Linked DNA regions of Diceros bicornis minor. The protein of the gene in region 2 purifies or fractionates together with the protein of the main gene of each other region. This does not show direct contact. Links are inferred from orthologs where the notes say so. Each region holds a gene or a part of one and is shown on either strand. Other genes may lie near its edges. The genes, in order: UBL4A, GET3 and BAG6.

The links.
Region 1: the proteins of GET3 (region 2) and UBL4A purify together in Homo sapiens (affinity purification with mass spectrometry; 4 studies listed by BioGRID and IntAct, with this or other methods). This does not show direct contact. The link is inferred for Diceros bicornis minor from reciprocal best matches to the Homo sapiens genes GET3 and UBL4A.
Region 3: the proteins of GET3 (region 2) and BAG6 purify together in Homo sapiens (co-immunoprecipitation; 5 studies listed by BioGRID and IntAct, with this or other methods). This does not show direct contact. The link is inferred for Diceros bicornis minor from reciprocal best matches to the Homo sapiens genes GET3 and BAG6.

Annotation. Positions count from the first base shown.
Region 1 is NC_080781.1:138,425,799-138,433,455, reverse strand, and holds UBL4A (ubiquitin-like protein 4A), read left to right. Parts: upstream 1-4,602; 5' UTR 4,603-4,658; coding exon 4,659-4,706; intron 4,707-4,893; coding exon 4,894-4,999; intron 5,000-5,213; coding exon 5,214-5,428; intron 5,429-5,543; coding exon 5,544-5,654; 3' UTR 5,655-7,139; downstream 7,140-7,657. Other genes in the region: SLC10A3 (P3 protein), read left to right, coding at 2,311-3,747. UniProt on the Homo sapiens protein: As part of a cytosolic protein quality control complex, the BAG6/BAT3 complex, maintains misfolded and hydrophobic patches-containing proteins in a soluble state and participates in their proper delivery to the endoplasmic reticulum or alternatively can promote their sorting to the proteasome where they undergo degradation.
Region 2 is NC_080769.1:4,600,382-4,607,706, forward strand, and holds the start of GET3 (ATPase GET3), read right to left. Parts: upstream 3,017-7,325; 5' UTR 2,930-3,016; coding exon 2,769-2,929; intron 1,932-2,768; coding exon 1,784-1,931; intron 1-1,783. Other genes in the region: TRIR (telomerase RNA component interacting RNase), read left to right, coding at 4,455-4,799, 6,726-6,803, 7,097-7,204.
Region 3 is NC_080753.1:33,107,519-33,115,002, reverse strand, and holds the start of BAG6 (large proline-rich protein BAG6), read right to left. Parts: upstream 3,023-7,484; 5' UTR 2,811-3,022; exon of another isoform or gene 2,788-2,810; intron 2,762-2,787; exon of another isoform or gene 2,748-2,761; intron 2,715-2,747; exon of another isoform or gene 2,648-2,714; intron 2,177-2,647; 5' UTR 2,164-2,176; coding exon 2,056-2,163; intron 924-2,055; coding exon 806-923; intron 691-805; coding exon 494-690; intron 257-493; coding exon 203-256; intron 42-202; coding exon 1-41. Other genes in the region: APOM (apolipoprotein M), read left to right, coding at 5,317-5,430, 5,824-5,978, 6,267-6,340, 6,435-6,533, 6,713-6,811, 7,204-7,229. UniProt on the Homo sapiens protein: ATP-independent molecular chaperone preventing the aggregation of misfolded and hydrophobic patches-containing proteins.

The DNA.
Region 1 (7,657 bases), on a different chromosome or scaffold from region 2:
CGGAGCCTGGGAGTGGCTTGAGGGCGCCTTCCGCGACCCAAGACCGCCAGGGCGGGCCGCTGGCCTGGCCGCCTTCCGGGTCGCGGTTGGCGACTACGGGGCAGCAGCCTGAGTCCGGCGGCGGCGCCCTCCTCCTTCCCTCCGTCCCGGGTTCGCGCCCGAGCTCTGCTCGTGCCCAGTCCGACAACTTCCGGACTCCCAGGTAGGGAGGAGCCCCGAGTCAGCACTGCCAACTGCCCTAACACCGAACACTCAGCCAGTGTGGAAAAAGCAGCCAGCCTGGGGTTCCTTCCCCTGCCTTGGGGTGCATCTGCTCAAACTCTTCTGGCCCCTCAAGCAGAAATGGTGTGGGATCTGGGCCAGACCCCTCTTGCAGTGACTCAAAGCCGCCAGCTGAACTGGAAGGACAGGGTGGATGACCCTTAGCCTCCTCTCCCTTCTGAACTGGTTCACACCACCGCGGTGGCTTCAGTCCCAGGTGCCTTCATCTTTTCCCTGTGACTCCCCTTCACTTTGCTTCTCATACTCCCTCTGGTTTGCCTGCCTTCCTCTTCAGCGGTGGGACACAAGGCTGGACCAAGGCCTCCAGGGTAAGTGACCCAAACTCCAAACCAGCCAAGACCATGGCATCCCAGGAGGCTGGGGGGAGACATTCCCAAGGATGAGCCTTTTGCTTAACCTGCCCTCCACCTCCTGCCTCCCGCGCTCCCCAGTCTCAGATGGCTGAGTGGGGGCAGGGACAAAGACTGTCAGGATCTACAGAGGCAGGGGCCTCTTCCAGGACTGGGACACTGCAGGGCGTGAGGCAACCAACAGTAGTGATGAAAAACCAGTGTCCCCATCCTGGTTGCCCCAGTCCCAGCAGGTGATGTGGCAATTGGATGGTGGCTGCCCAAACCTCCTCCTTTCACCCTGAGGCACCCCGCCCATGAGAAACACTCATAGTCCCCCTGGGCATTCCAGGCTCTGGTAGGGTGCGTGTGGGCATGGGGAGGAGCCCCTGGACTCCGAGCAGAGCCTCTCAGGTGTGACACAGTGGCTCTAGGAGCTCAAATTCTGGGACTGCCAGAGGAGTGGAAGTTCTGACAGAAGGAGAAGAAGCCCCCCAGCAGACATGTGGTCCTATCAGGCCCCCTCCTGCTGCCCCTTCTGGTGACTTCTCTGGGGAGAGGGGACCTGCTCCCCAGAGAAGAACCCCCATCTCCCCACTGTCAGCAGGTAGGGGAGGCCAGGGAACCATGGTGGCACCATTCACAACTGCACGTTGGTGGTGGACATCAGCCCCTGGGGCCTTCGGCCGGATGGTCACCCACTGCCCACGCCACTTTGCCAGCTGCTTTCTTCCTGGCAGATGATACTCAAATGCCCTAACCTGCACTCTGATGGTCTCTCAGATCTGGCCCAAGCCAGTGTTTCTTTTTTTTTTTTTTTTTTTTGTGAGGAAGATCAGCCCTGTGCTAACATCTGCCAATCCTCCTCTTTTTTTGCTGAGGAAGACTGGCCCTGGGCTGACATCTGTGCCCATTGTCCTCCACTTTATATGGGACGCTGCCACAGCATGGCTAGCCAAGCAGTGCGTCTGTGCGCGCCTGGGATCCGAACCGGCGAACCCCAGGCTGCCGCAGCGGAGCGCACGTACTTAACAGCTTGCGCCACCGGGTCAGCCCCAGCAAGCCAGTGTTTGTATCAGCACCCTTTGCTCTCATCAAGCTTGTCTCCTTGTCATCCCTGGGCAGCCTTTCAGAGATTTCATCGTGGTTGTGGGATTGCTGCGGCCCTGCTGTAGCTGCGTCTCGAAGCTGGTGGGGAACAGGCTAGTGGTGACAGGATTGGGGGTGGCTCTCCCGAATCCCTTGGTATCAGGATGTCTCTGCATGGTCACCATGCTGGGCAAGTCCAGGGAAATGAGCGGGTAGCAGCAGCCTGAACGGGAACTGCTATCTGTGAGTGTGTCCTCTGGGTGAGGGATAGGAAGCTTGAGGCAGTTGTGCTGGGTGAGAGGACAGCCGAATGGCACTCAAGGGCCAGCACTAGGCATTGCCTTTCTGTTCCCGGGCTTGGGGCAAGGGGCCCCACTGAGTCTCCCAGCAGTGGGCTTCCAGATCCCCAGGCTCCTGGGCTCACAGCTGCTCGCCCTCACCAGCCCCCTCTCTGTGTCCCTTTCCTCCTCAGGAAGAGCTCTGCCATCAAGGAAGGCAGCACAGGGCCAGGGCCCGCCTATGGACCCTTCTCAGGACAACCCAACGGTACCAGCAGGACTGCTCTCCTAAGCCACAGAGGGTCTGGGCTCGCCAGCCTTCAGGAAGAGCCATGGTGTTTAGGAGGGGCAGGGGCAGCTCCCAGCAGTGGCCTGGCCTGGGAGGGGGCAGTGGTTGCACAGGCCACCTAATCATGCTCAGGACTGCACTGCTGCTTTTCAGCCTGCCATGGGGGGCCTGGGGAACAGCCAGTGCCAACCTCAGCACGGCTCTGGGCCATACTGTGCCACTGACAGAGGGCCGCTACTTGAGCATTGGGGATGGCTCTGTGATGGAGTTTGAGTTCCCAGAAGAGAGCGAGGGCATCATTGTGATCTCGAGCCAGTACCCAGGCCAGGGCAACAGGACGGTGCCAGGCCCCACGCTAAGAGTCACCTCCCTGGACACAGAGGTGCTGACCATCAAGAATGTGAGTGCCATAACCTGGGGTCGGGGGGGCGGCTTTGTGGTGAGCATCCACTCAGGCCTGCCTGGGCTAGCCCCACTCCACATCCAGCTCGTGGATCCCCACAAGGCCCCACCTATGCTGATTGAGGATCGGAGAGATTTCTGCATCAAGGTCTCGCCTGCTGCCGAAGACGCCCCTGCCACCCTTGGCGCCGACCTGGTCCACTTCTCAGAGAACCCAATACTCTACTTGCTCCTGCCTCTTATCTTTGTCAACAAGTGTTCGTTCGGGTGCAAAGTGGAGCTCAAGGTTCTGAAGGGGCTCCTGCAGAGCCCCCAGCCCATGCTGTTGGGCCTCCTGGGTCAGTTTCTGGTCATGCCCTTCTATGCTTTCCTGATGGCCAAGGTCTTCATGCTGCCCAAGGCCCTGGCTTTGGGCCTCATCATCACCTGCTCGTCGCCTGGCGGCGGGGGGAGCTACCTCTTCAGCCTCCTCCTTGGAGGGGATGTCACTCTGGCCATCTCCATGACTTTCATCTCAACTGTGGCTGCCACTGGTTTCCTGCCACTGTCCTCAGCCATCTACAGCCACCTGCTCAGCATCCATGAAACACTCCACGTGCCCATCTCCAAGATCCTGGGGACCCTGCTGTTCATCGCCATCCCCATAGCAGCAGGCGTAGTGATCAAGTCCAAGCTCCCCAAGTTCTCCCAGCTGCTGCTGCAGGTTATCAAGCCCTTCAGCTTTGTGCTGCTCCTGGGTGGCCTCTTCCTGGCCTACCGCATGGGAGTCTTCATCCTGGCGGGCGTCAGGCTGCCCATCGTGCTGGTGGGCCTCACAGTGCCCCTGGTTGGCCTCCTGGTGGGCTACGGCCTGGCCACATGCCTGAAGCTGCCAGTGGCCCAGCGGCGGACAGTCAGCATTGAGGTAGGGGTGCAGAACAGCCTGCTGGCCTTGGCCATGCTGCAGCTGTCCCTCCGCCGCCTTCAAGCCAACTATGCCTCCCAGGCCCCCTTCATCGTGGCACTGAGTGGCACCTCAGAGATGCTGGCCTTGGTCATTGGCCACTTCATCTATAGCAGCCTGTGCCCAGTTCCCTGAGGCCCCTGGGTCAAGCTTTTGCCACCCCTAGCCCCCACCCTCCACCCACTGTCCCCACAGTTCTTGTGTACCAAAGGCCTTTAGTTCTCATGCACTATGCACTCAGAAAAGTCCAGGCTGATTTTTTTTTTACTGGTTTTTTATTCTCCAGCTTTCAGTGCCAAAGAGGCTATGCTGACTTAGGTAGGTAGGCACTGCCCAGAAAATATATTTCAATAAAAGAGAGAAGCAAGCTTGGGTCCCTTCCCGTCTTTGCCCTTTAAGGCCTGGGGGTGGGGGTAGGAAGGGTGTGGCTGGGTAGGTGTGGGTCGGCGTGGAGGACTGGCTTGGGTGACACGGTGATCTCTGTGCAGACTTTCTTTCTCAGCCCTCCTTCTCCACGCACCCCCTCTGTGAGAGGTGGGCCTCTCTGTTCTAGAATGAGCCACGGGAGCATGCGGGCAGAGGCCTGGCTCCTGCCTGCTCCCAAGCTCAGCTGGTTTTCTTCAGCCAGACTAGAAAGGAGACAGCAGGCCCGCCGCGGGCACTGGGGTAAGCTTGGCAGGGCTGGGCCGTCTGTGGATTCCTGAGAGACACAGACCGGGCGATGGCGCTGCCCTGCTCCGCCGGTGGCCCTCCCTCCTCCCCAGACGAGGCCGGCCCCACCCATTCCTCCTCTCTGTCCCGGCGGGCTTCCCGCGCCATCGCCGTGGGGGACCTGTCGCCGGGGCGGGTCCCTGCGCGCCGGCGAGGCGGGACATCAAGGGGACTCCTCCTCCGGGGGTGGAGGGGGCGGGGCCGGGGCGCCGGGCGCGCCCCTCTCGCTGCTTCCGGCGGCGGCGGGTGGTTCCGGCGCGCGCCCGGGGCGGCGGCGCGCGGCGGGGGGGCGGTTGGGGTGCGCGCCGGCCGGAGTGGACGCCGCCGCGGCCGCCATGCAGGTGACGGTGAAGGCGCTCCAGGGCCGCGAGTGCAGCTTGCAGGTAGCGTCGCCGGGCCCCGTCGCCGGGCCGGCTCGCGCCCTCAACCCCAGCCCCGGGCGTAGGGCCGGGCAAGCCGAGGGCGGGAACGGGGACGGGGCGGGCGGGCCAGCCGCGCCGGGGAGGCCGGGAGAGCGCCCTCGGCGGGAACTCGGGCTCAGCCCCTGCCTCCCACCCTCGGCCCGGCCAGGTGTCGGAGGATGAGCTGGTGTCCACGCTGAAACATCTGGTCTCCGAGAAGCTGAACGTCCCCGTGCGCCAGCAGCGGTTGCTGTTCAAGGGCAAGGCCCTGGCAGGTAACCGGAGAGAGGAGACGCCCCAGGGGCCCCGCAGGAAGTCGGGGGACAGGATATCCAGGCCGAGCCCGGGCAGCGGTGAGGGTCTGGGCGCTGGCCACTTGAGGGGAGGTTGCTGAACCTTCCTCAGCCAGATGCGGCAGCACTCCGGCTGCTGGGGCTCCTTGAGGCCACCCTTGCCGCTGTGGGTAACAACTTAATCTCTCTTTGGCAGATGGGAAAAGACTCTCCGATTACAGCATTGGGCCCAATTCCAAGCTCAACCTAGTGGTCAAACCTCTGGAGAAGGTGTTACTGGAAGAAAGCGCTGCCCGGAGACTGGCCGAGACCCCACCCCCACCCCCACCCGCCTGGCAACTGATCTCCAAAGTCTTGGCCCGCCACTTCAGTGCTGCTGATGCCAGCAGAGTCCTGGATCAACTACAGAGGGTGAGAAGGGTAGCCTGGCCCATCCCCTTCTGCCCCTGCTGCTCCCACCCCTGGCCTCTGTCACAGTGTACTGCCCGCTGGCACCCCCTGAATCCTCCTGACTTTCTCCCCTCAGGATTATGAGAGGTCCTTGAGTCGCCTGACCCTGGATGACATCGAACGCTTGGCTAGCCGCTTCCTGAACCCCGAAGTGACTGAAGCTATGGAGAAAGGGTTCTCCAAATAGGATTCTCTGAGTGTGGGGAGGAGCCCGCCAGGCTGCAAGCTGCATGTAGCATTAAATGTGTTCTCATGTTGCAATTTGGCTCATAATAGTAATAGCTGGCAAGTATCCCTCCCTGGCTCTTGCTAGGTGCCAGGCACCTCGCACAAAAGGTGAGACAGCTGAGGCTCCTGGCAATGAAGTGATGGAGCCAGAACCTGAGTCCAGCCAGCTTCTAGAAGTGCCTCAGGGTGAGAAGGAGAAACGGGCTGTTGGAAGGGTTCCAAGGGATGGGCTTTGGCATTTTGTGTTTAGCCCACTGAGAATAAACCCTCGAGCGACTCCTTTCCAGGTCTGAAAGGGGAAGCAGCTGGCCCCTGCTGCCCAGTCCTGTCACCTGACCTCTGGCAGGTCTAGCATTGGTGGGAGGCCAAGTGGCAGCCAGCCCGGAGCCCCCTCAGCTGCTGCAGCAAGTGCACTCGACGCAAGATATGCAGGTTGGGGAATCAGGGATGAACGTCGCCCAGCTCTGCAGTATGACTTCAAGCAAGTCCCTGTGCCACGTTGGTCCCCAGCTGTTGACTCTGCACAATGAGGGCCAGTCCTTAAACCTCAGTCAATTTCCTTCATCCTTACCCCAGCCCTGGGGTGAGGAGTTGGCGGTGATCCTCCCTCTTGTTTTCCATAAACAAACTGAGGCCAAAAGCCAAGCGATGGCCAAATGTGGCCCAGAGATGGGGTGTCCGAGCCTTTTGTGTCACAGCTCTTATGTGGGCACCCCCCCCCCCGCTTGTACCCTCCTGGACACGGGCAGTTCTCACCCCTTCGGAATTACAGGTCACTGGCTTGAGGTCACTCAACGAGGCAGTGCGAGAGCTAGGCCTCAGCCAGGCCCCTGTACCCTGCGCTCACCCATAGCGTGGAAGGGATCCTTCCCCTGCCACGTGTGTACAAGGGCTTTCACTTTGCACACCCCTCACTGCCTGAGACGAAACCTCGGGTGCCAGGGACGGGGAAGAAGCATGGGCTAGTGGCACTGGTCCTCCCACCCTCCCTGGTGTGTGGGCACTAGAGGTCATCTACGAGCCTCCTTCTTAAAGGAGGGCATCCGGGGTGGTTAAGGCTGGAAGGAAGCTGCCCTCCAGCCTGGGCCTCTTGGGGCAAACGCTGGGTCCCCAGGCTGGGAAGATGAACAGAGGTCTGATGGGCAAAGGCTTTGAGGAGCAGACAGAAGCCCCTGACCCCAGTTGAGAGCTGGGAATAGCAAACAGGGCCCACTTAGGAGCCCGTGTGGTCTGGCAGCTCATGTGACAGACTTAGCAATGCTCTCATTTCTTTTGAGTCAGGAACTTGATGTTGAAATTTTAAATAGCACTCAAGGTGAATGTGAGACTTGGACTTTTATCCAAAAGGAACTATATTAGCTAGGCTGCTTTTGGTTTCCAATAATTGATTTAACCGTAAAGGAAATTGATTTAAACAATAAAGGAAACTTACTGGTTTACGAAACTGAGAAGTCCAGGCCTATTGGCAGCAGATGAACAATTTCAGCAAATACCCAGTTTCTTCCTACCTCCCCTCTGCATTCTGCAGTGTCTGCTTCATCCCAGGCCGCTGCCTCAAGATCCAAATATGGCTGCCCTGAAGCTTCCACTGAATCCCTCATTCACAGCCAGCAAGGAGCACCTTCTCGCCCTATAGTGTAGCTTATTTCTCAGATGCCCCTGACAAATAAACGCTGTCCTTTCATTGGTCAGAACTGGGTTGTGCCACCAATCATTTTGGCTGGGCGTGAGGTGGACAGTGGGAGGCCAGCCCCCTGGACACCCATGGGCTGTGGGAGGGAGAGGGGATTCAACAAAAGCCAGGTCCGCAGGAATGGCTGACTGGTCCACTGCAGGGGAGTGACACACGCAGATGCAAGTTTCAGACAGACCCTAGAGATGGTCATTGAGTCCCTTGTGCCAGCACCTCTCGGCTCGGAAGTGACAGAGCCATCTGGTGGTTAGGAGCCATTCACTGGGCAG
Region 2 (7,325 bases):
CACCTTGCCCCCCATTCCCCATCACAAATCTCCAGCAGGCACTCAACCATCCATCCAGTCTGCCCCTGGGGCTGTTTATGTCACATCTTCTCCCTCCCCAACTCCTTCTGTCCCATTCGCCCCTTGCTCTCTGATGAGACTTGTGCCCTGCCTGGGGTCTCGGCGAGAAAGAGAAGCCACCGCTGCCAACACCCTCATCTCCCCCCAGGACGTGCCCCAGGCCCCCGCCTTGCCTCGGCATTTCTGGCCCTGGCGGAGCCCAAGTCCTGAGCCTGTGTGCTGGACGGAGCTCCCGCCCGCCTGAGGCCGGTCCTCTGCCAGCGTCCTTGCTCCCTCCCGCAACATCACTGTCCTTCCCTGATGGAGCATTTGCGTCAGCATAAAAAAGCCCTCCCTACCCCTGACTCCCATCTCCCTCCAGCGATGGCCCATTCACTTCTCAGCTCCCATTCACTTCTCAGCTCCCATGAGGGCAGACTCCGTCTCCACCTCCTCAGCTCATCCCCTCCAGGCAGGCTTTTGCCCCCGCTCCCAGGGTGAGCTCTTTAAATCTGATGTGCCTGCCACAGCCTCTTCTGCGTGAGTCCCTCTGCCTCGCTGGAGCTCAGGAGCTCACCCTCTGGCTCTGCTCCCACCTCACCGCTGGCTCTTTCTTGGTCTCCTTCCCCAGCTCCTCCTCCTCCTCTGCTGGACCTTAATGCTGATGTGCCCCTGCGTTGTTTCCAGGCCTCTCTGTTCTGTCACGCTCTTCTCCACTCACACAGCTTTAAATACCACCCTTGGGACAATGACCCCCAAATCAACGCCAACCTCCTCCAAGCTCCAGGCTCATCTAACTAAGACGCCGTCCTAACATCTCCACTTGAATGTCCAGTGGGCACCTCGGATTCACTGTGGCAAAAGCGGAATTCCTGACCTCTCCCTTCTAAACCTGCCCCTCTCCTAGTCTTCCCCATCCCAGCTGCTCTGGGAGCCAACTAGGAGACGTTCTTAACTCATTTCTTTTCCTGACCCATTACAACTAAGCAGCCACACTGCTTTACTTCCAGAACACATCTCAAATTTGACCACATCTCCCCCACTTGAGTTCAGGCTGCCATCGTCTCTTGCCTGGTCACTGCCCCAGTCTCCTTGCTTCCATCCTTGAGTTACAATCCAATCTCTGCATGGCAGCCACAGGGAACTTTTTGAAAAATGAATTTGGCCATGACATTGCCCTGCCTAAAATGAACAGCTTCAGGGGCCGGCCCCTTGGCCTAGCGGTTAAGTGCACTCCGCTGCTGGCGGCCTGGGGTTCGAATCCCGGGCACGCACTGACGCACCGCTTGTCAGGCCATGCTGTGGCGGCGTCCCATATAAAGTGGAGAAAGATGGGCACGGATGTTAGCCCAGGGCCAGTCTTCCTCAGCAAAAAAAGAGGACTGGCAGATGTTAGCTCAGGGCTGGTCCTCCTCACAAAAAAAAAAGAACAGCTTCCCATTAAACTTGGACTCAAAGCCAAACTGCTCCCAGTGGTCTGCGAGGTTCCACACTACGCGGCTCTGAGTGACCTCTCCGATGTCTCCCTCCCCTCTCCTTGCTCACTAAGCTCAGGTCACTCTGGCCTCCTTTCTGCTCCGCAAACCCTCCTCACTGCTTCCGCTGTGGGTATGTCTAGGAAGCGGTGAAACTGGAGAGACAGTGGATGTGGCATGGGCGAGACAAGGTGGCTGAGGGCGGGCGTCCACGGGAAGGGCCTGAAGGGGCCTTTGCCAGAGTGGGGAGCTGAGTCTGCTCCACTCACCATGGCGAAGAGGTTGTCATAGCCTTTGACCTTGGTCGGCACCTTGGAGAACTTCTGGTCAAATGCGTCGGAGATGTTGTGGGCTGGGTCAGTGGAGATGATCAGAACGCTCTCCCGCCCTTTGGACAGCTGGACTGCTAGGCTGCAGCTGGGCAAGGGAAAGGTCAAAAGCCGGGGACGGAGGGATCAGGCTCTGCTCCCTAGGTTTGCACGGGGAGATGGAGGGTCCCAGGAACACGGGACCCGGAACAACAGGGGCCTTGAGAGGAGAGTAGGGGTAACTGTGGGATCAAGCCTCAGTGCCTGCAGAGGGACCCTCTCAGACCTCACCTACTGTCCCTTCCAACTGGCTAGAGTTGTAAGGTTCAGCTGAGTCGCTCTGGCCTGATGCCTGCTGCTGCTTTGCTGGCACAGAGTGGTATGGTCCAGCTGCTCAGCCAGCATAGTTTGATCCTGTGCCCCCTCCCTCAACGCTAAGGGATCCCTTGCACCCCCTGCTAAACTCAGGATGGTTCAATCCACTTATCCACGATAATTTGCGCCAGGGAGCCCTCCACTTCCTCCCAGCTGAAGAGGCTGGAATGGGAGTCTTATCACGTGCCCTCTTCCCCGCCTTCCAGCACCACCCCCACGTGGGCAGAGAATGGCAAGGTTCACTAGACTAGGATAGTGCGCCCCGGTGCCCTTCCCCCTACTCTGAGCTCACTCTGGTACGGTCCAGCTGATTGCTCTGCCGCCCACGAGTGTTGGGTACACTGTGGTTCGGCCCTTGAGCCGCAAAGGGGATGGTCCAACTCAGAGGGTGCCAGGCCTGCATTCAGGAGGTATCTTCCATTTGCTCCAGGGAACTTCCAGGGAGCAGAACTCGGAAGACCCCGGCCCAGCCCCCTTGCCCGGCTCGGGGTGGAAGAGCCGGTCTTCGGCCTCCCCTTCGCCCCGTGGTACATCCCACCCGTCTTCCCGGCCCCCGTCGCAGCCTTCTTACCTGCAGGTGGTCTTGCCAACGCCACCTTTGCCCCCGACGAAGATCCACTTAAGGCTGCGCTGCTCGATGATGTTGCTAAGCGTGGGCTCCAGCGGCTCCACATCAGGCGCATCCTCGAACTCCTCTGCCTCAACCCCCCACCCGGCCACCCCTGCCGCCATCTTGGAACCGGTTCACGTGATCAAGCGGAGCACACCACGCAGAGCACCTACAGGGGAAATTGCCCAGCACATCCCCATCAAGGCTAGGAACATGAATTAATTTCCTCTTGGCTTGACTTTTAGGAGCTAATAGAAGCTATAGTTCCTATGTCCTCCGCTTCCGGGGTTCACTTTATCGACTTCTTGTCTACATTTTTTCAAAGACTCCCCCTGCCTAATTAACATATTGGTACGTTCCTGGCTACTCCCCTCCACTGATTGGTCCCTAAGTCTTGCAGCGCTCCTTTCATTGGCTACATCTTTTCTTACTTTCACCAATCACTCTCAAGTCTCGGTAGCCGCCAACCTCGCCTTAGCAACCAGCCAAACACCCGGTTCATGCCCTTTCCGTGAAGTTACATTCGAGGTCCGCCATGGCCTGACTCCATAGGCTTAACTTCCTGTCCATCATTTCCTCCCTATTCTCCAAATTAGGTCCCGACATCGCCTCAGGTTCGTCTCCTCTGTTATCCGATTGGCTGTGAGCCACCTGGTTCCTGACGCAAACCAATCATAGATGAACCGATTAGTTGGCTGGAGACAAGTCCTGGGGCTGCGAGTGAGTTAGAGGGAGAATGACTCCAGTGGTAGGCAAGGTCCGCAGAGCCGGTCCAGTGCTCCCTGAACCCCCATGCTGGGCAGGCCAGGGCAGGGACCACACCTGCAACTGCGCTCCTTGTCGTAGTAGGAACACTATTCCCGAAAACTTCCTTGCACTTGGCTCCCTATTCGAGGGGGAGGCTCCAGTTCAGCGAATTCCCTGTTTGAACCTCTGCCCTGGGCAGGAATACAAGCTGGGTCCCAGGCCCTTGGGGGACACTCAACCTTAGATGGGGACTCCAGCCTAGAAATTTCCGTGGCTTTATTTGAGTACTCTAGGCCATAAAATAATACCTTGATTCTCAGATGAGGACCCCAGCTTCACAGAGCCAGCGTATCCCTATTCCCAAATGGGACAGGTACCTAATCCAGAGATACCCTCATTTCTATTTGAGGGGCCCAGGCTAGATACGCCCTCTAGACCTAGTTAGGGACCTAGGTTCCGAGATGGCAGCTGAACACACAGCCTCAGACGGGGTCCCTCCCCTCACTGAGATGATCCCTGGTGCCAGAAGGGGATTCTAGCCCCGGAAAGCTAACGCGCCCCCGGTCCCAAGCGGGAATCTCACTCCGGAGAGCCGGCTATAGCCCCAGTCCCTCTCGATGGTCCCATTCCCGGGGAGACCATGTCTTGCGTAGCGCCTTCCCAAATCTAGCTGAATTATAAAAATCCGCAGGGCTGGGCATCCCCCAGCCGGCCAGCCGCGTCGGGTCTTACCCCCCACTCGTCCCGCCCCTCATGCCCCGCCCCCACTGCGGACGCCTTGGGTTGGGGGGCCCGGACCGCTTTTCCCGGCATGCATTGCCCGGGACGAGGCAAGTCGGGCGCCAAGCGCGGGGCCCGAGCGGCCTTCCCGGAGTCCTTTGCGCGGCACCTGGCGACAAAATGGCTGCCCGAGGGAGACGGGCGGAGCCTCCGGGCCGGGAGGCGCCGGGCCCTGCGAGCGGCGGCGGCGGCGGGAGTCGATGGGCTGAGTCTGGGCCCGGGACGTCGCCCGAGAGCGGGGACGAGGACGTGTCGGGCGCGGGTTCGAGCCCAGTGTCGGGCGGCGTGAACTTGTTCGCCAACGACGGCAGCTTCCTGGAGCTGTTCAAGCGGAAGATGGAGGAGGAGCAGCGGCAGCGGCAGGAGGAGCCGCCCCCGGGCCCGCCGCGACCCGATCAGCCGGCCGCCGCCGCGGGCCCCGGGGATCCGAAGAGGAAGGGCGGCCCGGGCCCCACGCTCAGCTTCGTAAGGAGCCGCGGGGGTGGGGGCGGGCGCCGGGGCCTGCCTTGGCAGGGGGAATCGGGGCCCGAGAGAGGGGGTCAGGATGCGTCCACCCTCCGGCCCCGATGAGGGGCCGTCCGGGTCACCCGCTGAGCATGCAGAACCTGGATTCCCGACGAGAGAGGTCGGGGGGCGGAGGTGGGGACCCCTGGAGCCTGCCCGCAAGAACCAGGAGCGGGAGGGAGTTGCATTGGAAACAGAGCTCCGGGGATGGGGAAACCAGGATACCAGGATTGCTGTTTGAGTGGCACCCAACTTTGCATGCTGGGACCATCTCCCACTCTGGGGAAGGGGGCAAATTCAAATCTGAAGTCCGAGCTGTGTAATTAGAGACTCAGACTACTTACTGTGTGACCTTAGGAAATTTGCATGACCTCCCTGAATCTCATTCGTTCAGTGTCCATTTATTGAGCCTTACCTTGTGCTGGGCATCCTGCTAGGTGCTGGGTATACCGTGGTGAACGTGATAGACAAGATCGCTGCTTTCGTGGAGCTGGGCTGGCCCACCCTCATTTTCCCTACTTACAAAACTAGATCTCATCTCATCTTCGTCTGTGATGAGGGTTCAGTGAGGCCATCCTGGAAAAGCGGTTAGCACAGGGGCGTATAGGAAGGGCTAAACCAGTGGTTCTCAGTTGGGGATGATTCCCCCATCCCCATCCTCACACTTGGCAAAGTCTGCAGACGTTTTTGGTTGTCAGAACTGGGAGGGGGGGTGCTACTGACATCTGTGAGTAGAGGCCATGGACGCTGCTCAGCATCCTACAATGCACAGAACCACCCTCCCCCTCGAACAAAAATGATGCTGCTCAAAACGTCATTAGTGCCAGGTTGAGAAACTCTAGGCTAAATAAGTGGCATCTATATTGATTGTCAGCTCTGAACTTGTTTTGTCTCTAGTGTTCAGATCAAGTCCCTGTGGTGTGGAGAAAAAAGTGTTGACTTGAGAATAACGGACGGGGGGGTCATGTGTCTTCATCTGCCAATAATGAAGCAGTGCAGGCCCCTTGATGCCTGGTTGAGGGGCAGAGATGGGATGATGCCTGGAAAGCCTGTTGCAGCCCCAGGGGCTCAGGAAGCCCCCAGTGGGTGGGAGAAGATGAGGACCAGGATGAGAGTCCAGAGTTGAGACTTGTGTTGGAGGAAGGGAAAGTGTTAGGACCTGGGCTGGTGTGAGAACTAGGTGGAGGCCGAGTGCCCCTCCATGAGCAAGAGTAGCAGCCATTGTCACTGCTCTTTTCATTTGTTCATGGAGGGGCCACTGCGGGAGGCCCCTTAAAGAAGCCAGGCCAGGTTAGGTGCAGGGGAGAGACAACGTCTCTTGATGGTTACGGATGCTGCTCTGTGGCTGAGACCCACCTGACCTGAATCCAGCTCCATTGTTTGCTGCCAGCATGACTAAAGTACAGGTCTCTCCTTCTCAAAGATGTTTCCTCACCTGTAAAACGGGGATGGTTGTAATCTTCATCTTAGGGTAACTGTAAAAGTGGAAGGCGATAATCCAGCCAAAGCACTTGGCACAGGGCTTGGCATCCAGTAAGTGCTCAATAAAGGGAGCTGTTGCTGCCTGTGTGATTCCTGCTAGGGTTGGGGGAGGCTTCAGCCTGGAGAGTGAGGACAGAGCCTGTCCCTGCCAATGTGGGGGTTCATCTCGCTCCCTGGGAGGGCAGCCCGGGTGCCCAGGACTGCCTGGGCATCATGGGCCTGGGGCAGGCGCTAAGAGTCGCGTGTGCTCCTCTCTGATTGCTGCGCAGGTCGGCCGGCTGGCGGAGCTGGGCGCGGCGTCGGGACGGGCCACCGGGCCGGGCTAGGAAGGTGTGGTGGGCCTCAGCGCCGCCAAGGGCGGGCCCGGCTCCTGTAACCGTAGCAGTCTTCTGTCCCTTCACCCAGGTGGGCAAGCGCAGAGGCGGGAACAAACTAGCCCTCAAGACGGGAATAGTAGCCAAGAAGCAGAAGACGGAGGATGAGGTGAGCAGGCTGGGGTGGGGGGCTGCCCAGGTTGCCTTGCTTTTCCGGCCTCAGTGCTTGGCCAACAAGCCCTGACCCTCCATCTCCAGCGTCTGGGCCTGGATGGGTGAGCTGGGTGGGGGAGGAGGGCTTTCAACACGGTCCCAGCTACCTTGACTCTGCATATCTTGACTTCCAACCCAGGACCTCCGGGGTCACGCTGGGGGTGGGTCCGCTGTCTCAGGACAGTCCTGACCGTGGGTCCTGGCCTCCCTGGCATCCCCTTCCCGCCCCCTGTGTGTCCCCACCAACAGGTATTAACAAGTAAAGGTGACGCATGGGCCAAGTACATGGCAGAGGTGAAAAAGTACAAAGCCCACCAGTGCGGCGACGATGATAAAACTCGGCCCCTGGTGAAATGACCCCCTTCCCCGCCTGCCCACGGCCTGGGACTCTCTGCGATGTACATAACTATTTAATGCAGCGGCAGCGGCGGCAGCCTCCCCCACAAGGACTTATACACAGAAGGAAACCGAGACGCTT
Region 3 (7,484 bases), on a different chromosome or scaffold from region 2:
ATCATGTGCTGAGCCATCAGCAGCCGTACTCGGGGCTCACTCTACAACAAGAGAGGGAAGATTAGGGCAGGTTTGAGATGAAGCCATGAGCTCCACCATCTACCAAACCAGGTCCCAGCTATCTGCTCAGCCAGGTCCACCCCCACCTCACAGCCTCCTTCTCCCAGATCCCCTTCCCTGGCCCTCCCAGGCCCCGTGATACCTGAATCGGGGCCTGTTCCATGTTGATGTGAACATCCACAGCAGAGCCGTCACTCTGGGGAAAGGGTAAGGGAAGTTGCTCTGGGAGAAGCCAAATACTAAGGCCCCCACACTTCCAACTCGTTCTCTGGAGCCCCAACCCTCTTCTCCTCAGAGACTGAGGCCGTTATCAGACCACAGGGGCCTACAAACCCAATCTAAAGACTGGGACACCTGTCTTATGAGCTCTTTGCTACCACAACCAAAACTACCCTTCCCCACAAAAACTCTTCCACATGGAACACAAGCTTACAGGAAGATTGAAGGTTCCAACCATGACATAGCTGTTGGCATTCCGGTCATGAACAGAGGCCCCAGGCCCCCGAGTACCAGGGGAAGGTCCCCCACCATGGGTGGCTGAGGCAGACCCTGTCCCAGAAGATGCCCCAGAAGGGAGCTGAGTCTGAGGAGGAGCCCGTTCCACAAGGTGGATAACCTTTCCCCCAACATCTGCAGAAAAAAAAGATACACACCAAAACATTATGTGAGCAGGTAAACCCACAGCCTCAGCTCATCCCTCTGGACAGCTGCCTCAACCTCTGAACTGCCTTCCCCACCCGCTTACTGTATTCTTGGAGCTTCTTATCATCCTGCAGAACTCGGCCCTGGTAGATGAGCCGTTGTTTCTCAGAAGGGATGCTGACAGAGGCGGCAATGTGTTCCTTAAACTCCTTTACATTCATCTGTAACAAAGAAAAGACACGAATAGGTATCAAGGGATGGAAGAAAGAAGAAGGACAGAAGGACAATTGACTTGTGGGGATAAGGGGTAAAAACCATCCCATCATAAAATCACTACCCATTTGACTTGTGAAGTAATTATTGGGCAAAGCCCCAAACTAAGACAACAGCGGTCAAAATACAGACAATAAACTTAGCAAAGTTCAAGTTATACACCTAGCAGAAAATTACATAGCTAAGAAACAGAAAAGCCAAGAGACATTCTCTTTTCTCTTTCTCTACCTGGCTCCCAGGGGAATGTGTGTCTAAAGACACCGGTGACCCCTCCCCAAACACAAAACGATACAATTCTGTAATCTCAAAGATAAAAGCAATGACAAGGAAAATGGGGTGGAGAATCAGGGCAAGGAAGGAAGACTCAACCAAGAAGAGAGAGAGAAGGGAGCAAAAAACAAAAAAAGTTTTACTAACTAGACAACTGATTCTTGGGAAGTATCAGGCTATTTACATACATCTACTTGAAAAAGTTTATACGGTTTTCTTAAATACATGTAATACCATGCTCTAAAAATCATGGACCAACTCCTCACAATTTTGTCTCCAAGTATTACAGGAGTAATGGCATGTCCCCATGGTGTTAAACTCAAAAGATAGGAATTATGCCAGAAATCTTAGTAATTCCACTCAACAGTCTATTAGGGCTCTACCTGCATTAGGGGCTCCGATTTCTAGCCTTTAAAAACACAGGATAGACCCGACCAATTTTTGTTTTTAAGACACACTTGCGTTTGGGTCTGTGTGTCCTGTTTCCCTTCCCAAAGGCAGAAGCCATGTCTGGCCCCTTGGTCTGGGGTTCACTTATGGTGATAGCATACAGATTCCTTCTTCCTCCATATTTCCCTCTGCATTGAGTTCTATCGAGGTGGAGGAAGACAGAACAAAATCTGCCTCATTCAACAGAAACCATACCTTCTCACTCAACAAGAAACATCAGTAAATGTTCTGCCTAGAATATGAACAAAGAAATTAATGCAAGAAATTTTGAGGACCAGAAAATCAGGCTCTTCTCTTAGGCTAAGGGGCCTACAAGAGAAAGAGTTAATAGGTGTCTTAACAGAAGTACTGGGGTCTCACCTGGGCCCCCACAATAAACGTCCGAGTCTGAGAGTCCAGGGTCTTCACCAGCACCTCCAGGGTGTCAGGCTCTTCCATAGTGAGACTGGTACTATCACTGGGCTCCATGGCCGACAGCTCTCTAAGGAAGAATGGAAGGAGGGAGGCCCGCTGTCGCCCAGAACAGATTTTATATATCCGGAAGCCTCCCGGCCTGAGTCTCCGCCCCAATACCTAAAGGGTTTCTCTCACACAAGCACACACACTCACACCCGCCCCCATCCCCCTTCTGATTCCGGGGCACAGGGAGAGAAACACAAAGGGCAGGAGATCGACGGCACAAGGAGCTGGAGGAACGGGACGTGGGAGGGGCTCCACGATGCCAATCACAATAAGGGAGGGCCAATCGGGATAGGAAGCAGGGAAGAAAGCAAGAGACCAGTGTCATCACCGGTCGCGATAAGACAAGGGCCCCAAAGGTCGGCAAATCCTGTAACAACGCGAGTGAGAGGGTCGCGCCAGACTGCGGAGAAAGTGGTTTCGCGCAGGCGCGCTACGCCACGACCATCGAACGCGCCTAAGTCACCACAGACCGGAGATGACCGACACTCACGGGGGGCCAGACCGGCTAGCTGACTGCCCCCCTCTTCCGCTTTCCCTCGGTGCTCCAGCAGAGCGGCGCAACCAACACACACACACACCCACCCACCCACCCACCACTCCGCGGCTCCGCCCCCGACTTCCCCACGGTACCGTCACTTCCGGTCTCCCCTAACCTGCCACCGACGGCCACTTCCGTTTCCCCGATAGTATTTGGGGATCGCGAGGCGGTACTTCCGGCTCCTCCTAGGTCCCCAAGCTTTACTTTTGTGGGGCACGACCAGGAAGTCCGCGGCCCCAAACAGTGAGTTCCTGGGGGCAAGACGGACCGGGCCCGGCCTAGATGGGAAGGAGCCGAGCCCTCGAGGAGCCGCCGCCGCCGTCGCCTGGGGGACCGTACTGCGCCTGCGTGCGTGGCACTGCGCCTGCGTACACACTTAGGCACCGCCCCACCCCCGCTGGAGCTGTGCATTTCTCCTGCGCGCGCGCTCGAGCAATAGGACGTTAAGGTGGGCACTGTAAATGCCTGAAAAAAAAAATTACCAGATGGGACTGTACGACTGCCTCGCGAGGCTTCCGACGGTTCTGTGGATGTTGGAGTTTGGATACTGGGGATTGTGCCTCGTTAATCTATATTAAAGTCTTGGCCGGCAGAGAATTTGATACGGCACTGTCCTGGCCACCTAAGAGTCTGTCTTCCTGTCACTGTCGCCCTCGCTGCGCCAATCTTCGGCGCCTGCGGAAGTCACCCTTTCCGTAGGCGGTTGGAGGTGGTTCGCGAGCTGTCCTGCGTGCGATCAAGTCGTTGGGCCTGACTTCGGTCCTGCCGGTGGGCGTTTTGCGGAGTGTGGGCGCCATGTTCCTCGCCGGCGGTGCACGGCTGAGGCGACACGCCATGTTTTGGAGAAGCTAAGGATTTGCCACCTTTCAGGACTTTTGTCAAAAAAAAGGGCGCTTCTGAGTTTGGAAATCGGGAGCAAATGAGTCAGACTGGACTGAAACACAAGACTGACTCCGGGGAATTGAAGGGGCTGCTAAGGGGCTTCCGCAGGCGGGGGTTGCGGGGGCGAGGTAGTTACCGCCTCTCTCCCCTCTTCTCCTCCCACCCCCGCTCTCGGGCAAGGGCATCGACCCCGAGGCGCTGCGACTCTTCCAGTCAGACTCGTCGCTGCCGGGGTGCCTGACTCCCTTGCCCTGCCTTTTTATAGTTTATACCCAGGTCCCAGTACTGCTTCAGTTAAGAGTTCTGATAAGCACCTGTTTAGTGAGCACTTAGTTTGCGCCCGCCGATTTGCTAAGAGATTTACGTAGTCATATTTAAAAGCCTTTCAACATCTGAGATAGTTACTACATCCGTTGTATAGGTGAGTGCACCTAGGCGAACGTAAGTGGCAGAACCGACAGATCCAGGCCCAGCACGCTCTGGGTCAAGCACTTCTACTTTACTGTCCCAATAAATCGTTGTATTTTAGTTTTTAATTATCAAAAAATGTCAAACATTACCCCAAAATAGAATAGTATAATGAATCCTGATATACCCATCTCCCAAATTTTGTTCAATCACAAGCCCATAGCAAGCCTCACCTCTCAGGACAAATCTCTTTTTGGCAGTCTGTGGGTTATAAACAATCTATTAAGGAAGCCCCACCTTTTATTGCATTAACTGCTCCACCCACTTGGCACTATCCAATGACTGCCTCTTGACAATTCTTTCCTTATCTCCTATTTGAAAACTTATTAGCCACCAGAAACTGTAATAAGTGCTTTACAAACGTTACTATTAATTATAGAGAGTATTTACTTTGGACTTACCGTGTGCAGGCCTTTGCTAAGGGCTTTATGTGCATTATCTTTTTTAATCCCATGAGACTGATGAGTTGCTCATTTCACAGATGAAAAAACAGGCATAAGGATTAATAAAATTGTCCAAAATCTAATGAATAGTAGAGTTAGGGTTTGGACCCACTATGCCTGACACCAATGTCTGTCCTCTTCAACCACTAGATTATATAGCCTCTTGTAGTAATAAACGTTGAGTGAATGAATTCACTTATGTGTCAGGAAACTTTTCTGGAGAGCGTACATATTGTTTCCTCAATTATAAACTTCAGAGAGGAAGCCTCCTATCCACCATGCCCCAGCACGTGGTTTGTACCTGTTCTAAAGCACTTCCCAGGTTGTACAGCAGTGATTTGTTTACACAGCTAGTTTTCCTTAGACTGACTGCTTCAAGGCCAGGGACTGTGTCTTATTCATTTTTATGTCCCCAGGGCTTAGCCAGTTCCTGGCAAACAGCTGGGACTCAACACAGTTTGCTAAGTGAATGAATGAATCAATCCACCACTCTTGGATGCTGCACAACACAGCAGATACCCAGCTCAGATATGGGTTGAAAGACCACAGGCTTCTGCCTGGAGGGCTCAGCTCTCCTTATAATTCCTGAGAGACCCTGGACATGCCAGGGTGTATTGTGGAGTGGTTGCATCTAGAGGAGGGGGAGGAAGGCCCAAACACTAATCCAGGCTTGGGTTGGAAAACAAGGTTGAAGTTACTCATTAGCAGGTGAAAGGGTCAAGGGTCGAGGCAAGGGGGCTGGAAGCAGAGTGGACTGAGCAGCCAGCGGGGGAAGAGAGCAGTTAAGGCACCACTCTATGCAGAGCACCAGCTGCCTCCTGCCTGAAGATGTTCCACCAAATTTGGGCAGCTCTCCTCTACCTCTATGGCATTCTCCTTAACTCCATCTACCAGTGTCCTGAGTACAGTCAACTGACAACTCAGGGAGTGGATGGGAAAGAGGTATGGACTGAGAATGGGAGAAACTTATGGTAGGGGCTCTGAGGGACTTGAGTGGTGGCCTAGGATGACCAGAAGCCACGTTGGGAAAAGGAGGGAGGAAGAGGGTGTGAGTGTTGTGATGATGAAAGCAAGAACAAGTAAAAAAAATATTAACACTGTGGCCATCAATGTGGAGACATGGTAGAACTGGGGGGTGGGGTGGTTACTCAGGTTGATTGAGGAGGGGCAAAGAGGAAAAGTCATTTAGTGACTCCCTGTCATGGATCCAACCCCCAACTGGAAAAAGGCAGCCAACATCTCCACCTCTACGTCTTGCCATCCTGACTGATGAAGACATGGGATGGATCCTGTAGTGGGACCCACCCTCTTCTGTTCCCCTTATTGTCTCTCCAGTTCCCAGAGCCCCACCTGGGCCGGTGGTACTTTATCGCAGGAGCAGCTCCCACCAAGGAGGAGTTGGTGACTTTTGACCCTGTGGACAACATTGTCTTCAACATGGCTGCAGACTCTGCCCCCAAGCAGCTCCAGCTTCGTGCTACCATCCGCACGTGAGTGGTGAGGAGGCAGAGGCACCAGTAGGTGCGGTCTCTGCCTGAAGTGTGAGCACCTACCCACAAAGAGCTGAGTGCTTTGGCATATCCACAATTCTTGGCCCTCTGAGTTTAACAGCTCTATTAGTTTCAGTCTGGAGAGAAATGGGCCTAACCATCCCTTGGTAGCTTGAAACCCAAGGGGACCCGGGCTTCAAGAAGGAATAAGATGGAATAAATAGAGGCTGGTACTGTGTGGTTGGGGTGTCACTCAGTCTTGCCTCCTTGCCACCACCACCTCTGCAGGAAAAATGGGCTCTGTGTGCCCCGGAGATGGATTTACCACCTGACTGAGGGGAGCACAGATCTCAGAACCGAAGGTTGGTTCTCTCCAGTCCTCACTCTCCCCAAGTCCTCTGGGCTTGCTTGGTTTTGCATCTCGGTCCTCACACTTCTCCTCACCCACCCTGACAGGCCGCCCCGACATGAAGACCAAGCTCTTCTCTAGCTCATGCCCAGGTGGAATCATGCTGAAAGAGACGGGCCAGGGTTACCAGCGCTTCCTCCTCTACAGTGAGTGGGGATGCCAGGCAGGAAGGATTGGAGGGAAACACGGGAGGACAGGAGAGCTCCTCACTCTGGGCCCTGTCGCATCATCCCAGGAAGGGCTGGGTGCTTCCATGAGGTCCTCACCAGGGGCAGTGCTAAGAAGCAGGGGCTTTGATGGGCCTGGCCCTGCCTTGCCCTTCCAGATCGCTTGCCACACCCTCCTGAGAACTGTGTGGAGGAATTCCGGTCCCTGACCTCCTGCCTGGACTCCAAGGCCTTCTTACTGACTCCCAGGAATCAAGGTGAGGGGTAAAGTCGCACAGTAGAGGACTAGGACTCACCAAGTCTTCTGCAGGTGCTGGATGAAAGGGACTCAAGTGATGTCACCAGAGGGCATGGCCAAAGGCTGATATCATCAGAGTGGCTGTGTTGACCCTCCATTTGTGTCACAGGCTGTGATGGCACCAGAGGGATGTGGCCAAGAGCTGTGATGTCACCTGAGGGAGCCAGGATGGGCTCTGGGCTACTCAAAAGAGAGGTTTCTGAGTTTGCGTGGATAAAGGGGGCAGAGGGTCAGACATGGAGGGAAAAAGTCCTCAGAGATCCCTTCTCAACACAGGGGAATGAGGGAATGAGGGAATCTCCCTGGATTTCCTTCCTTTCCATCCTCTTTTTCTCTCCCTCCTCCCACCAGAGGCCTGCGAGCTCTCCAGTAACTGACCTGTGGCTTCATCTGATGGATATGATGGGAGTTGAGATTGTGGTGAGAAGGAGAAGCTGGAGACTCCCAGCTCCCTTTGAAGAATAATAAAAATGATTTTTCAATAAGGATTTCAATAAAGATTTTCAATCAGGGTCTCATTGGGATTTGTCTCCAGACATCAATCCCACTACTCCCATTTCAATAGTCCCCCTGGACCTTCTGCCATCTAAACCTCCAGCTGGACGGCGTCAGGAAGGACACTGAGTGGCGGT